Linked DNA regions of Macaca mulatta. The protein of the gene in region 3 interacts with the protein of the main gene of each other region in a biochemical or structural test. Links are inferred from orthologs where the notes say so. Each region holds a gene or a part of one and is shown on either strand. Other genes may lie near its edges.

The links. The genes of interacting proteins can lie anywhere in the genome.
Region 1: of the proteins of UBA1 (region 3) and UBE2Z, one has a biochemical effect on the other in vitro, tested with the Homo sapiens proteins (3 studies listed by BioGRID). The link is inferred for Macaca mulatta from reciprocal best matches to the Homo sapiens genes UBA1 and UBE2Z.
Region 2: of the proteins of UBA1 (region 3) and UBE2E1, one has a biochemical effect on the other in vitro, tested with the Homo sapiens proteins (9 studies listed by BioGRID, with this or other methods). The link is inferred for Macaca mulatta from reciprocal best matches to the Homo sapiens genes UBA1 and UBE2E1.
Region 4: of the proteins of UBA1 (region 3) and UBE2D4, one has a biochemical effect on the other in vitro, tested with the Homo sapiens proteins (4 studies listed by BioGRID). The link is inferred for Macaca mulatta from reciprocal best matches to the Homo sapiens genes UBA1 and UBE2D4.

The regions. Positions count from the first base shown.
Region 1 is NC_133421.1:61,089,798-61,093,297, forward strand, and holds part of UBE2Z (ubiquitin-conjugating enzyme E2 Z), read right to left. Parts: intron 1,776-3,500; coding exon 1,664-1,775; intron 1-1,663. UniProt on the Homo sapiens protein: Catalyzes the covalent attachment of ubiquitin to other proteins. Specific substrate for UBA6, not charged with ubiquitin by UBE1. May be involved in apoptosis regulation.
Region 2 is NC_133407.1:24,593,380-24,596,634, reverse strand, and holds the end of UBE2E1 (ubiquitin-conjugating enzyme E2 E1), read left to right. Parts: intron 1-533; coding exon 534-681; coding exon of another isoform or gene 682-800; exon of another isoform or gene 801-1,328; intron 1,329-1,961; coding exon 1,962-2,059; 3' UTR 2,060-2,755; downstream 2,756-3,255. UniProt on the Homo sapiens protein: Accepts ubiquitin from the E1 complex and catalyzes its covalent attachment to other proteins. Catalyzes the covalent attachment of ISG15 to other proteins. Mediates the selective degradation of short-lived and abnormal proteins.
Region 3 is NC_133426.1:47,235,565-47,239,064, forward strand, and holds part of UBA1 (ubiquitin-like modifier-activating enzyme 1), read left to right. Parts: intron 1-2,075; coding exon 2,076-2,241; intron 2,242-2,375; coding exon 2,376-2,572; intron 2,573-3,500. UniProt on the Homo sapiens protein: Catalyzes the first step in ubiquitin conjugation to mark cellular proteins for degradation through the ubiquitin-proteasome system.
Region 4 is NC_133408.1:84,416,822-84,420,321, forward strand, and holds part of UBE2D4 (ubiquitin-conjugating enzyme E2 D4), read right to left. Parts: intron 3,473-3,500; exon of another isoform or gene 3,343-3,472; coding exon of another isoform or gene 3,342-3,342; intron 3,154-3,341; coding exon 3,122-3,153; intron 3,026-3,121; coding exon 2,948-3,025; intron 1-2,947. UniProt on the Homo sapiens protein: Accepts ubiquitin from the E1 complex and catalyzes its covalent attachment to other proteins. In vitro able to promote polyubiquitination using all 7 ubiquitin Lys residues, but may prefer 'Lys-11' and 'Lys-48'-linked polyubiquitination.

The sequences.
Region 1 (3,500 bases), on a different chromosome or scaffold from region 3:
CAGCCTGGCCAACATGGTGAAAACCCTTCTCTACTACAAATACAAAAAATTAGTCAGGCATGGTGGTGCGTGCCTGTAATCTCAGCTACTCGGGTGGCTGAGGCAGAAGAATCACTTGAACCTGGGAGGCAGAGGTTGCTATGAGCCGAGAATGCACCATTACACTCCAGCCTGGGTAACAAGAATAAAACTCTGTCTCAAAAAATAAATACATCAATCAATTAAGCTGTTCTAATCACCTATCTGGAATCATTTTCTTTTGGGACTATCACTGGAACTTTTTCCCGTGCTCATAATTCAGGAAGGCACATCAGAATAGTGGGAGAACTTGGGCTCCAATATAAGTCTGGGGTCCTATCTTGAACTGTGTCCTTGTGAAAGTTAATTAACCTCTCTGAGGCAACATTATTTCACTTGAAAATGGGAATAACAATATTTAACCTCACATAGTATGAAGGTTAAACAAGAAATTACATAAAAAAAACTCAGGAGTGTCCAGCACAGAGCATGCTCTTGGAAAAATGTGAGTTTTCTCCACCTTCTCATTGGCACTGTTAACTCAAAAAGTCTTTCCCAGGACTCCTAATGACACCTTTGGCTCTGCAGGCAACAGTCCTTCATAACTCCAGAAGAACAGCTGGCTGAACAGTAGTCCCTATAGAGCAACTTCAGGGGATGCTGAGGATACAGGCACATAGAACCCACTAGATGCCACAACCCCCAAAGCAGGCTCAGAATTAATTTCCAATTGAGTCCATTGACTTCCATGTTGTAAAGGAATCCAAGCCACATATTTATTGTAACTCTCACAAATAAAAAATTTCATTATTATTATTTTTGGGGGGCAGGGAGGACGGAGTTTTGCTTGTCGCCCAGGCTAGAGTGCAATGGCGTGATCTCAGCTCACTGCAACCTCTGCCTCCAGGGTTCAAGTGACCACGCCCAGCTAATTTATTGTATTTTTAGTAGAAACAGGTTTTCACCATGTTGGCCAGGCTGGTCTCAAACTTCTGACCAGTTAATTTTTAGTAGAGATGAGGTTTTACCAGGTTGGCCAGGCTGGTCTCAAACTGCTGACCTCAGGTGATCCATCTGCCTGCCTCAGCCTCCCAAAGTGCTAGGATTACAGGCGTGAGCCACCATAGCTGGCAAAAAATTTCATTACTAAAAAACACATGTCAATTCCCTTTTTTTTCCTGTAGCAACAACTGTAGTACATGGGGTTGTGCTAGGTCCAAAACAAAACAAAAAAACCTCCCAAGCAGATCTCTTAAAACACTATTCTGGCCGGGCATGGTGGCTCACATCTATAATCCCAGCACTTTGGGAGGCCGAGGCAGGCAGATCACCAGGGTAGGAGTTTGAGGCCAGCCTGGCCAATATGGTAAAACCCCGTCTCTACTAAAAATACAAAAACTAGCCAGGCGTGGTGGTGCACGCCTGTACTCCCAGCTATTTGGGAGGCTGAGACAGAATGGCTTGAACCCGGGAGGTGGAGCTTGCAGTGAGCCGAGATTGCACCACTGCACTCCAGCCTAGGTGACAGAGCAAGACTCTGTCTCAGAAAAAACAAACAAACAAAAAACAAAACAAAAAAAACATAACCAACCAACCAACCAAAAACACTAGTCTACTCCCCAGAGCCAGGCTCACCTGGCCTTACCTGTTCAAAGCCAGGCTCATTGTGATAGGGGTTCTCAGTCATCAGGGACTGGATAGAGATGAGCACGGAGGAGATGCTCTGGGCTGGGCTCCAGGCAGGTCCAGTCCATGTACTGTAAACACATCAGAAGGAAGGGAGGGTGAGGCAGAGAAAGAACAGGGAACAAGTACCCTGGGGCCTGGCAATACCACCATAAGTGACTCACCATAAGTTTCTCTTTCACTATTAATACTCTGGAATTTCCCAGCCTCTGTCTCATGCTCATGTTCTGATTTCAGCAGAAATCAGTCAATTGCCTAATCCTCATATCAAGGGGGGCAAAAGAATAGGTAAAAGCAAGCTAGTAACTTTGAAGGGATTTTCTTTGTACTAGAAACAGTTATGACAATCAAAACAAAAGAAATTAGGTAAGCAATCAGCTCCAAAAGTTGTCTAAATGTTAATCTCTGTGGATCTCAAAGAGCTCGTTTATGGGTGGTGATGGAGTTAGTGAGGGGAGAGAGAAGTTGAACATAGAGGCAAACAGGTGACTGAAGTCATCTGGTTAGAGGCCATGTGGTGGGGCTATTGGGGATCCAGTTTTGTATCAAACCCCCAAGGACTGTCAAATTCTCTTAAGACTACATAACTCTACCTAAGGACAGGAAGAGAGTGCTTCCAGACAGTGGAAGGTGTGAAAATAATATATGGAAAACATCGAATACCAAAATTGCTCCTCTCTTTCATAAACCCAACCAAGTATTGGGGGAGTGGGCAGCTTGGATGTTAATGACATTTATTTTTAGCTCAATTAATTGAAGAGATGGCACTGGAGCTGGAAGCCAAACACAACCTAAGCCAGGACTGGCTTGTTCAAGTTGATTGCCCACTTCCCTTTCCCTGCGGTACCTGAGGAAAGCCCAAGTGAGTAATGCCTAATGGTAGCTTCACTGGGGGCTGCTCTTAAGTCTTCTCTCTTTTCAGCTTTGCTTCCCCAGAAACTCTAGACCTACCCCTCTCTGAAGCTTTACAACAGTGTCAACTCTCATTAAATTTATTTAGTCAGTGAGTCAGCCCAACATTGTTTTCTAGGTAGAGAGGGGAAAAAAAAACAAGGCTGATAAAGCTAATACAGTCAACTAGGAACACCTAAGAATTTTCTTTTCTTTCTTTTTTTGAGACAAAGTCTCCCTCTGTCACCCAGGCTGGAGTGCAGTGGCGTGATCTTGGCTCACTGCAACCTCTGCCTCCCAGATTCAAGCAATTCTCATGCCTCAGCCTCCCGAGTAGCTGGGACTAGAGGCACGCGCCACCATGCCTGGCTAATTTTTGTATTTTTAGTAGAGACAGGGTTTCGCCAGGCCAGGCTGGTCTCAAACTCCTGACCTCAGGTGATCCACGCGCCTCGGCCTCCCAAAGTGCGGGGATTACAGGTGTGAGCCACCACACCCGGCTGAATTTTCTACTCTGTGATTTTTTACGGCAAATTTTCAATTTCAGGACAGCTTTTCCTTGTCTACCTAACACACTTCTACTACTTTTACCCCACTGTCCTGTCGTTGGTATCTCAAAAGTTTTATATTGACCCAATGAGGGAGAGCCTACTCTGAGACATGCTTTCATGAACAAACTTCATACAGAAGCAATGACTAAATTTCTTTACCATCATGGGTTTTAGCCTACCAGCAAAGACAATTAATTAAGTACCCTAACAAGATGAAGTACTTCTTTAAGGACAGCCTCCTTTAAAGGACTTCTTCACTGCCAAAATCACAGCAGAACATATCCCTGGGTCTGAGCAAGTTCTAGAAAAATGAATCATGTCTCTAAGTTTATTTCAAACGCTGCCCTTCCCTCA
Region 2 (3,255 bases), on a different chromosome or scaffold from region 3:
TTCAAATTTTGTTCAGCTTTTTGGGTGTAGTCATTGTTTGCTAAGTATGTTGTTTAATTATCTTTAGGTACCTATTATGTTGCACTTCAGTTTTTAAGAGAGACTTACGATTTTAAATATTTTAAAGCTTTTAAGTATTTTAAAGCTTACTTTGAGGCAGTGTAGTACTACCAGCTAGCACAAGAGGTCAGCAAACAATTACCTATTCAGACTTGGAAATGTTAATATTTAAAAGATTTAAAATTGCTAAAGATAAAATTAGGAAGTACTGAACTTACCATCAGGGGACATAACATTTTAAATGAAATTGACACAGTCCCTGAGATGGTCAGTGAACACTTTCTAATCAAATTTATTAAACAAGTCTATCTTCTTGACAGCTTTAATTAAAACTGCTTTTATTCACCTTTTTAAAAACTACCTATCTGGGAGTTTTTTTTTCTTTCTTTCTAATTAGGGTCATTCAGTTGAGTATTTAGTAAAAAGTTTGTTTGCTTTTTAACTATTGTTTGACACTTCCTTGTTTTCCTTAGGTTACATTTCGGACAAGAATCTATCATTGTAATATTAACAGTCAAGGTGTTATTTGCTTGGACATATTGAAAGATAATTGGAGTCCAGCACTAACCATTTCTAAAGTCCTCCTTTCTATCTGCTCACTTCTTACAGACTGTAATCCTGGTAAGGTTAATAATTCTTTACCTTGTTTTATTCTTCCTCACCTGAAAAGTACTTGTTTCCAAAAGCTTTCAAAGGACAAAACTAATTTTTCTGCAAAACTTTATGAATATAAAAACTAATCTGCTTTTCAAAGAAAGTTTTAATCGAGAAGTTCAGTCTACTAGTTGAGACATACAACTTCATTAATCAGTATATTCTAGCAACAAGGTATTTTAAACTGAAGACGAAGTTTGCCTTGGGCTTTTACAGTTTCAGTTATTCTTCCCTCTATTTTTTTTTCCTGTTGCTTAATTTCCCATATAGTTCTTATAAAACAAATCATACACTTCTAAATGCCAAGTCATCTGCCTGGCAAGCCTCACCTTGCCTGTGGGGTTCAGTGGGCATGTGCCCATAGCTGGTCACTGAGATGGCACTCAGTTTTGAAAATGGTATTTGTTAAATACTTAGTGACTATTGAATTGTGACTTTTTTGGGACTTCATTTCATTTAAAAAATATTTTTCTGTAGTCCCAGCTACTAGGGTGGCTGAGGTGGCAGGATTGTTTGAACCCAGAAGGTCAAGGCTGCAGTGAGCCATGAGCATGCCGCTGCACAGAACTCCAGCCTGGGTGGCAAAGTGAGACCCTGTCTCAAAAAAAAAAAAAAAAAAATGTGTGTATATATATATAAATATATATATGTGTGTCTATACACACATATATTATTTATTTTATTTTCTAGGTAAACCAAATATAAATTTAGTTATTAAAGATCCTAAGATTCAGAGAAATACTATACTTAATTGGAGGTCCAGGTTTTGCCTGGCAACCTGGCTCTTTAACCAGTGTAAAGGTAAATAGTGTTGCATTGCAACAGCCCCGAAGACTTCACAGTATTCACAATGCCATAACTGGTGACACTGAGCTAAGGGTCACATCAACACAGTTGGATGTTCATTGTAGTCTGGAGCCTTGACCGTTCCAGTCTCCACTGAACTCAGCCTAACACATAAGAGTAAAGAAACTCCAATCGGGTGTTGTTTATTGGGAGAAAAATGGAATGAACTAAGATACAGACAGACCAGTAAACTAAAGCCTGAGCATTCCCTCTTCCTCCCATGTTACGATTTTTAAATTTTTGATGGAAAAATATCCGGCATAGTGGAGTGGTGTTTCGAAGATGGGTTTGATCACACATACTTGGTTGTACATGTCTGCCCAAGCTGTCACTAATGTATTTGCTAAAGTTTAAAATGTTCTTTTCCTTTCTCCAAAGTAATCTACATTCTTTTCTTCCAGCCGACCCCTTGGTGGGAAGTATTGCCACTCAGTATATGACCAACAGAGCAGAACATGACAGAATGGCCAGACAGTGGACCAAGAGATACGCTACATAAACTGGGTTTTCACAATTCTTACATTATTTGTCACAGAAGAGAGCTGCTTATGATTCTGAAGGGGTCAGGGAGGGTGGGAGTTGGTAAAGAGTAGGGTATTTCTATAACAGATATTATTCAGTCTTATTTCCTAAGATTTTGTTGTAACTTAAGGTATCTTGCTACAGTAGACAGAATTGGTAATAGCAACTTTTAAAATTGTCATTAGTTCTGCAATATTAGCTGAAATGTAGTACAGAAAAGAATGTACATTTAGACATTTGGGTTCAGTTGCTTGTAGTCTGTAAATTTAAAACAGCTTAATTTTGTACAGGTTACACATATGGCCATTTATGTAAAGTCCCTCTAAGACTACATACTTTTTGTTTAAAACAAAATTGGAATTTGTTTTCCCTTCTTGGAAGGGAACATTGATATTTAACAGAGTTTTTAGAGACTGTCATCTCATATATATAAAATGGACACGTGGCTGTAAGACACCATATAGGAGATGAGTAATGTGTTTTATTTTATATGCCAATCTACTTTGTTTAAAAAAGGTTTAAATCAGGACTTGTGAAAACCTGTAGTGAAATACCTTAAGCTGTTAACTGTAAGGCGTGGAATAGGAGTTGCTCAGTGGATTGGTTATATGTTGTGGACTACTTAAGTCTGCATTTGTTACTGTGCTAATAAACAATATTAAAAACCGCCTAATACTGCTGTGTTCATTTACTTTTATTTTGCCTTTTGGTTGCTGTTTGCAGATTCTTCTGAAATCGATAGGTATCTGCTTCTAAAACAAGCTAAAAATAATGCATATTTAGTAGGTATTATTTACCCATATTAGGATCTGTACTTTACACAGCTGTAGATGTTGAGGTATCCTAGACAAGGTTAAATAATCTACCCCATTTAGGCTTCAAAGACGAACCCTACTGCATTTTTTTTTAAAGCGTTTTCTGACTTGCAGATGCTGTAGTAGCAAGTACATGGGAAATGGGTTCTGTCAGGGATAAACTGGTACACTGCCGTAGGGGGCATTTTGGCAGTACCTAAGTATACACATGGCATGACCCAGCAGTGCTGTTTCTGTGTGTCTTTCATTACAGAATTTAAAAAGAATTGGTAACTCTGTCTGTACTAATATAGACTAAGTTGCATTAGCAGGAAACAAACTGGAAGGTACTTATTTAAAAATCATTATGAAAGCATTT
Region 3 (3,500 bases):
AGTAGAGACAGGGTCTCTCCATGTTGGTCAGGCTGGTCTTGAATTCCCGACCTCAGGTGATCCGCCTGCTTCAGCCTCCCAAAGTGCTGGGATTACAAGTGTGAGCCACCTCACCTCGCCCCTCCTTTTTCTTGTTCCCATTCTTTCTGTCAGAGATCTTTCCACCTCGGCCAGAAGCCTTTCCCAGCTTCTGTATCTTACTTGTTTTTTTTGTTTTTTTTGTTTTTGCCTTGACCTTAGTGCTGGTTGGGACAGTGTGTCTGGGGTCCTCAAAACCACTCTCAAGCTCAATTCACCAAGAGAACTCATGGGACTTAGCATATAGTCGTGCTTGTGGCTACAATTTATTACAGCAAAAGGAAACAGACCAAAATCAGCAAAGGGAAAAGGCTGGTGGGGTGAAGTCTGGGGGAGCCAGGTACAAGTTTCTAGGAGTCTTCTCCCTGTGGGAGTTAAACAGGGCAGCCTTTATTTCCCCAGTAGCAACAGTAACTACAGAAATAACAGCAACAAAGTGTAACAAGATGTGAAATGTTGCCAACCAGGGAAGCTTGTTAGACTCAGCACCATCGTGAAATGTTGCCAATCAGGGAAGCTTGTTAGACTCAGCACCATCTCTTTTACTTGGGACTGGTCATGTAGGCGCCCCCTTCCTGGCACATACCAAAATTTCCAGACTCCCAGAAGGAAAGGTGTTCAGCATAAACTGTATTGTTTGCATGAACAGTTTAGGCACAGTGAACCACTGATATCAGGTAGGGAGTGGTGGGATTCTTCCCGAATTCCAAGTTCCCAGACTCCAGCCAAGGGTGGACCTTGGAAGCAGGCCTTTCCAAGGGTTGCAGTTTCAGTCTCCTAGGCTTACACTTCTCTGCCCATATGGAAACTGGGTTGGTTATGCAGGGATCTCTGAGAAGCCTTCTGTAGGGAACAATGTCATTTTTGCTTACCCAGGATTTATTCCCCCTTTCATTCATTTCATTTATTCACCAAATAGTTACTGAGGTACTGTTTTAGGTATTGGGGATATACCAAGGAATAAAACAAGATTTCTGAAAGGGGAGGGGAACGGACAGCAAACAATAGATACAATACGATCGTGAGGTATATAGTTAATGTCGGTGATGAGTGCTCCTCAAAGGAAACAACAAAAACCAGACAAGGGAAGTCAGGGTGTCAGGGAGAATGGTTTGTAGTATTGATGACAGTGGTTAAGGAAGGCCTGAGTTCTGCAGAGACCTCAAGGATATGAGGGACTAGAGCGCCTTCTGCTGCGGAAGAGCCCACGCAAAGATCCTGAGGTGGGAGGGTCAGGGAGCCAACTCATTTTACGGTAAGTGGAGGTGGGATCCAGGGGAGGATTCTGAGCAGAGGAGGGATGTGGCCCACCTTGGGCTTTGAAAGGATCCTGCTTGTCTGTGCGCTAGCATCCTGGTGCTGGTTGGGGGAGTCTACGTCAATCCTGGGTGCTATTACCTGAAAAAATAGTAGGTGTTAGATGAAAGAACAGATGTCTGGCCCATTGTCTCCAGTCTGTTCCTGTCCACAGCTTCCCTTTCCACTGATCCCCTGCCACATGCGTCATCATCCTGGCCATGTGGCATTGTCACAGACCGTCTCTCCTGCTAGCCACCTAACTCAGGGCCTGGGTCTTCCCCAGCATTAAGTAAATCCATCTCAGGCAGGCAACCCTTTATAGATGTTTGGGCCAGGTGTGGTGGCTCACGCCTGTAATCCCAGCTCTTCGTGGGGCCGAGGTCTTTGAGCTCAGGAGTTCAAGACCAGCCTGGGCAGCATGACAAAACCCTGTCTCTACCAAAAATACAAAAATTAGCCACGCATGGTGGTGCACACCTGTGGTCCCAGCTACTTGGGAGGCTGAAGTGGGAGGATGGCTGGAGCCTGGGAAGTTGAGGCTGCAGTGAGCTGTGATCATGCCACTGCACTCCAGCCTGTGTGATGGAGAGAGACCCTGTCTCAAAAAAAAAAAAAAGATGTTTGTTGGGTGAATGAACAGATAAGTGAGCTCTGTTCCCCCGTCCCCACCCTGGAACTGCACTTTCTTAACCCTTTAGAAGTTAAAGTCTGACACGGCCGCTGCAGCTGTGCGCCAGATGAATCCACATATCCGGGTGACAAGCCACCAGAACCGTGTGGGTCCTGACACAGAGCGCATCTATGATGACGATTTTTTCCAAAACCTAGATGGCGTGGCCAATGCCCTGGACAACGTGGATGCCCGTGAGTTTGGAGGCGGGTGAAGTGGTCAAGGGCAAAGTTGTGTGTGTTTCGGTGTGTATATACCAAGAGGGGTGTCTGTCTTCCTGTCCTCTCCTAATGTTCCTTTCCCGGCTGTCGCTTTGTCCTCCCCGCAGGCATGTACATGGACCGCCGCTGCGTCTACTACCGGAAGCCACTGCTGGAGTCAGGCACACTGGGCACCAAAGGCAACGTGCAGGTGGTGATCCCCTTCCTGACAGAGTCGTACAGTTCCAGCCAGGACCCACCTGAGAAGTCCATCCCCATCTGTACCCTGAAGAACTTCCCTAATGCCATCGAGCACACCCTGCAGGTGATAAGCTGTGGGAGAAGGGGAAGAGGCCGGGCATCTGGCCAGGCCGCTGCCTCTCTGCCCCCAGGCCCTTGCCTTGCCTTCAGATGTTGCATGCCTAAGTGTAAGATGTACCTTTTCTCCAAACCTCCCTCCCTCTCTTCCCACCAGGCAGCCTAGGTTTCTAGAATGACTCATTCTTTTTTCACTTTTACTTTGAATTTTTTTCAACACATAGAGAAATATTAAGAATATTATGATGAATACTCAAATACCATTCCTCACCTAAATTTAGCAATTCTTAATGTTTTGCCACATTTTCTTCTTAGATGTATATAGATTTTTCTTCTTTGTGCTTAAATGTGTCACGGACATAACAGCCTTTACTCCCCTACTATTTCAGTGCCTCTGCCAAGTGAGGATATGTTGCTATAGAACAGGGTTTCTTAGCTTCAGCACTACTGACATTTGGGGCTGGTTACTTCTTTGTTATGGGAGAGGGGATGCCCTGTGCACTGTAGGATGTTTCTCAGCATTCCTGACTTCTTATGTCAATAGCACTCCCCCTCCATCATGACATCTAAAATGTCTCCAGACATTGCCAGATGTCCCCAGGGGTGCCACATCACTCCCAATTGAGAACTACTTCTATCTAACAGAAACATCACTTTCATGCTCAACAAAATTAACAATCATTCTTACCATCTCTTCCAGTTATTTATTTGTCTCTAATAGTCCATATTCGGGTTTTCCCCAGCTGTTACTTAAAATGAGTTTAACAGCTGGTTTGTCAGGATGATTCTGTGTGTATGGTGCATGTACCTACAGAACAGTGCACATATTATCTAGCTCAGGGGTGTCCAATCATTTGGCTTCCCTGGGCCATATTGGAAGAATTATCTTGGGTCACACATAAAATATACTAACACTAACGATAGCTGATAAGCTG
Region 4 (3,500 bases), on a different chromosome or scaffold from region 3:
CATCTCTACCTAAAAATACAAAAAAATTAGCCAGGTGTGGTGGCACATGCCTGTAATCCCAGCTACTTGGGAAGCTGAGGCAGGAGAATAGCTTGAATCCGGGAGGCAGAGGTTGCAGTGAGCTGAGATTGCACCACTGCACACCACCCTGCGTCACAGAGCAAGACGCCATCTCGAAAAAAAACAAAAAAAAGGATTTTGCCTCCTTCGCTAGCTCTGAGAACTCACTGGTACTTCTTAGGCTAGATGGAGATGCACAAACATCCTTTATATAATTATCTACCATTTTTTGCATGTTTGATATAGTTTTTAATATTTTTTAAACTTACTTTGGAATATGAGAAGAGAGTTATGTGCATGTGAGCTCGAATATCTATTACCATATAATTTTTCCCAGAAAGGGTCAAACTTCAAAATCATCTCAGATATTAAGTATCTGCCTCAATATCTCCAATAAAGACCATGCAATCTTGCCAGATTCCTCCTATTGTCAGAAAATTTGTGCCAAAACATAAATCCAGTTGCTCCTGTTCCCTGTAGAAGGAGGTTTTTGAAAGACAGAAGCACTTTCTTCCCTCATAGAATGTCACTGTCACCTTTTAGCTCACATCTCTCCTTGCTAAAATAATCCCAACTCACCCACAGAGCTTACTTCTTAGTCTTTTAATAATAACCACTGTTGGCTGGGCGCAGTGGCTCACACCTGTAATCCCAGCACTTTGAGAGACCAAGGCGGACGGATCACCTGAGGTCAGGAGTTCAAGACCATTCTGCCCAACATGGCAAAACCCCATCTCTACTAACAACACAAAAAATTAGCCAGGCATGGTGGCGGGTGCCTGTAATCCCAGCTACTTGGGAGGCTGAGGCAGGAGAATCACTTGAACCCGAGAGGAGGAGCTTGCAGTGAGCCGAGATCATGCTACTGCACTCTATCCTGGGTGACAAGAGAAAAACTGTCTCAAAAAATAATAATAATAATTTAGAAATAATAATAATCACTGTTTCTCCTTTGTCCTTGGGCAATTAGGTACCCTGAAAATGCCCAACAGACATTCAGGACTACATCCATATCTGTTTAAGGAAAATCCTCAGCTGCTCACACAGTAATGAAAGAGATAAGCTAGAAAATTACTACTTGATAGACACTGCCACAGTCTCTCCAGAGGGTAAGGGAGAAGGGGTGGATCAGAGCACCGTGAAGCATGTTTATGATTTTTCAACCAAACCCCCTTGAACAGCAGTTGTACTCTAATGTGGCAAAGCTATTTTAGCATCTGTCATTGCCCTGCGCAGCACACCCCACTCCCTTGCCAAAAGTTTAAAAGGTCTCTGGGATCCTAAGCATATTTAACCAGGATTTAAAATGCTCAGGCACCACGTAGCCTCTGGTGGTGATGTCTGGACAGAGCTGCAGCTGGCGAGCACAGAAGTGGCTTCTTCACACTGACTCAGATAAACAACACGCAAAACAGCAGCTAAGCCTCTGACTCAAACTGAGTCATCAAGGCCAAGTCAAGGTAGTAAGACACAGCAATGTCACAACCCCTCGGCTAAGGTGTCTGATGCAGATGCAGGACTTTTGAGTAAGTCTTGCCAAAATGCACAACCTGGCCAGGCGTGGTGGCTCACACTTGGAATCCCAGCACTTTGGGAGGTGGAAGCAAGTGGATCACCAGAGGCCAGGAGTTCGAGACCAGCCTGGCCAACATTGTGAAACCCTGTCTCTACTAAAAATAATACAAAAATTAGCCACGTGTGATGGCAAGTACCTGTAGTCCCAGCTACTCAGGAGGCTGAGGCAGGAGAATCGCTTGAACCCAGCCTCCTCCACAAGGCAGCAGAGTGATCGTTTTGGTGTGGCAATCCCCACAATGGCGTGCAGACCCTACTCCTGGGGCCATCCGTACCTCTCTGGCCTCCTTCCCAACTCCTCACACGCTCACTCCCCTGGGGCAGTTTCCTGGGGACCCGTCTGCCCCCTTGCTGAGCTTCTGCAGTTCCCCCTTCTCAGGGCTATCTCCCCACCACCCCAGCTCCTGCTGCCAACCACTGCTTGTGCTCCTCCCCAGTGCTGACAGTGCTGACTGGCTCACACGCTAAATGCCCTGCCTCCTCCACAGGACTGTGAGCCTCAGAGCAGGCTCAGCTACCCATGCAGAGCCCAGGTAAGAAGGAGTATGAGGTGCAAGGGTCCAGGGGATGAGACGACCTGCAGTGCATAATACATGCTAGGGCAGGGTGGTTGAGGCAGCTCCCTGGGCTTCTCCTTCCCTCTGGTGGCACTGCTCTCTAAAACTCCACTGATGGGATGGTGTGTGCATAAAGGGCAAAGGAGGTTTGCTATTCTTTTAACTTAATAAAGGAAAGTGAAGGTGTGACTCACCAGTCCTAAACCAGGGTGTGTCCACCTTGGCACTATTGACACTTGGGGCTGATCATTCTCTGTCACGGGAAGGGAGGCTGTTCTAGGCACTGTAGGGAATCCCTGGGATACCCTGGCCTTTGCCCACTAGATACCAGCAGTACCCCCTCACCACAGTTTTGATAACCCAAAATATCCCAAGATGTTGCCCAAATGTCCCTGGGGCAATAGCAAAATCACCCCAGCAGAGAACCCCTGTCCTAACTCTAAGGGACTGCAGAGAAGGGAGCCAGAGCCTGGAGACATGACCAGACTCAGCTACAGTCACAAGGAAAAGCATTCAAACTGTGGCCTCAGTAAGGAGGCCAGCACCAGCTCACCCCACTGACCCTTGGTCACAACAGGTGCTAATTCCCAAAGTCCAGTGGTTAAAGTCCTGGGAGGCTGTCACCACAGGGTGGAGCGGTGGGCCCTCAGAGAAGCCCCATGTACAGCTCTTTTTACCTATACCTGACTTGAAGGGCCCCTCGTCACATGCTGTCCTTCATTCAAACATCAGGGGAGTTGTGAGGGGCACCTCACCTTTGGGGGCTTGAACGGGTAATCCGTAGGAAAGTGGATGGTCAGGAAGAAAACACCTCCTTGGTAAGGACTGTCATTCTGGAATGATGAGACACAGGAAGAGATCAGTGCATGTGCTAAGCCCAAAGTGCAAGAAGCAAAACTGGAGTGGTGTGCTCAGCAGCTACTACCTACCGGGCCCATGATGGTGGCCTGCCAGTGGAACACTACAAGACAAAAGAGAGATGGGCATGTAAGAGACCCCCCAAGAAACATGTCTATTCTACTGAAAATGCACTGCTAAATTACAGGGCACTGTCCACACGAGATGCACTCACTTCTGACACCAACTGCAAGACTGGGGTTCCCCAAACCACCCAAGATGCGGTAACTGCCTAGGACTCCCAGAGCTCACTGAAAGCGGGTGTGCTCAAGATTGCCGGTTATCCCAGGGAAACAGCATAAGTTAACATCAGGAGGGTCCAAACGCAGAGCTTCCATTCTTCTCTCTCCGTGGAGTCGGGATGTGTTACTCTCCTGGCATTGCTGTACGGCAACACACACAGAGTACCCA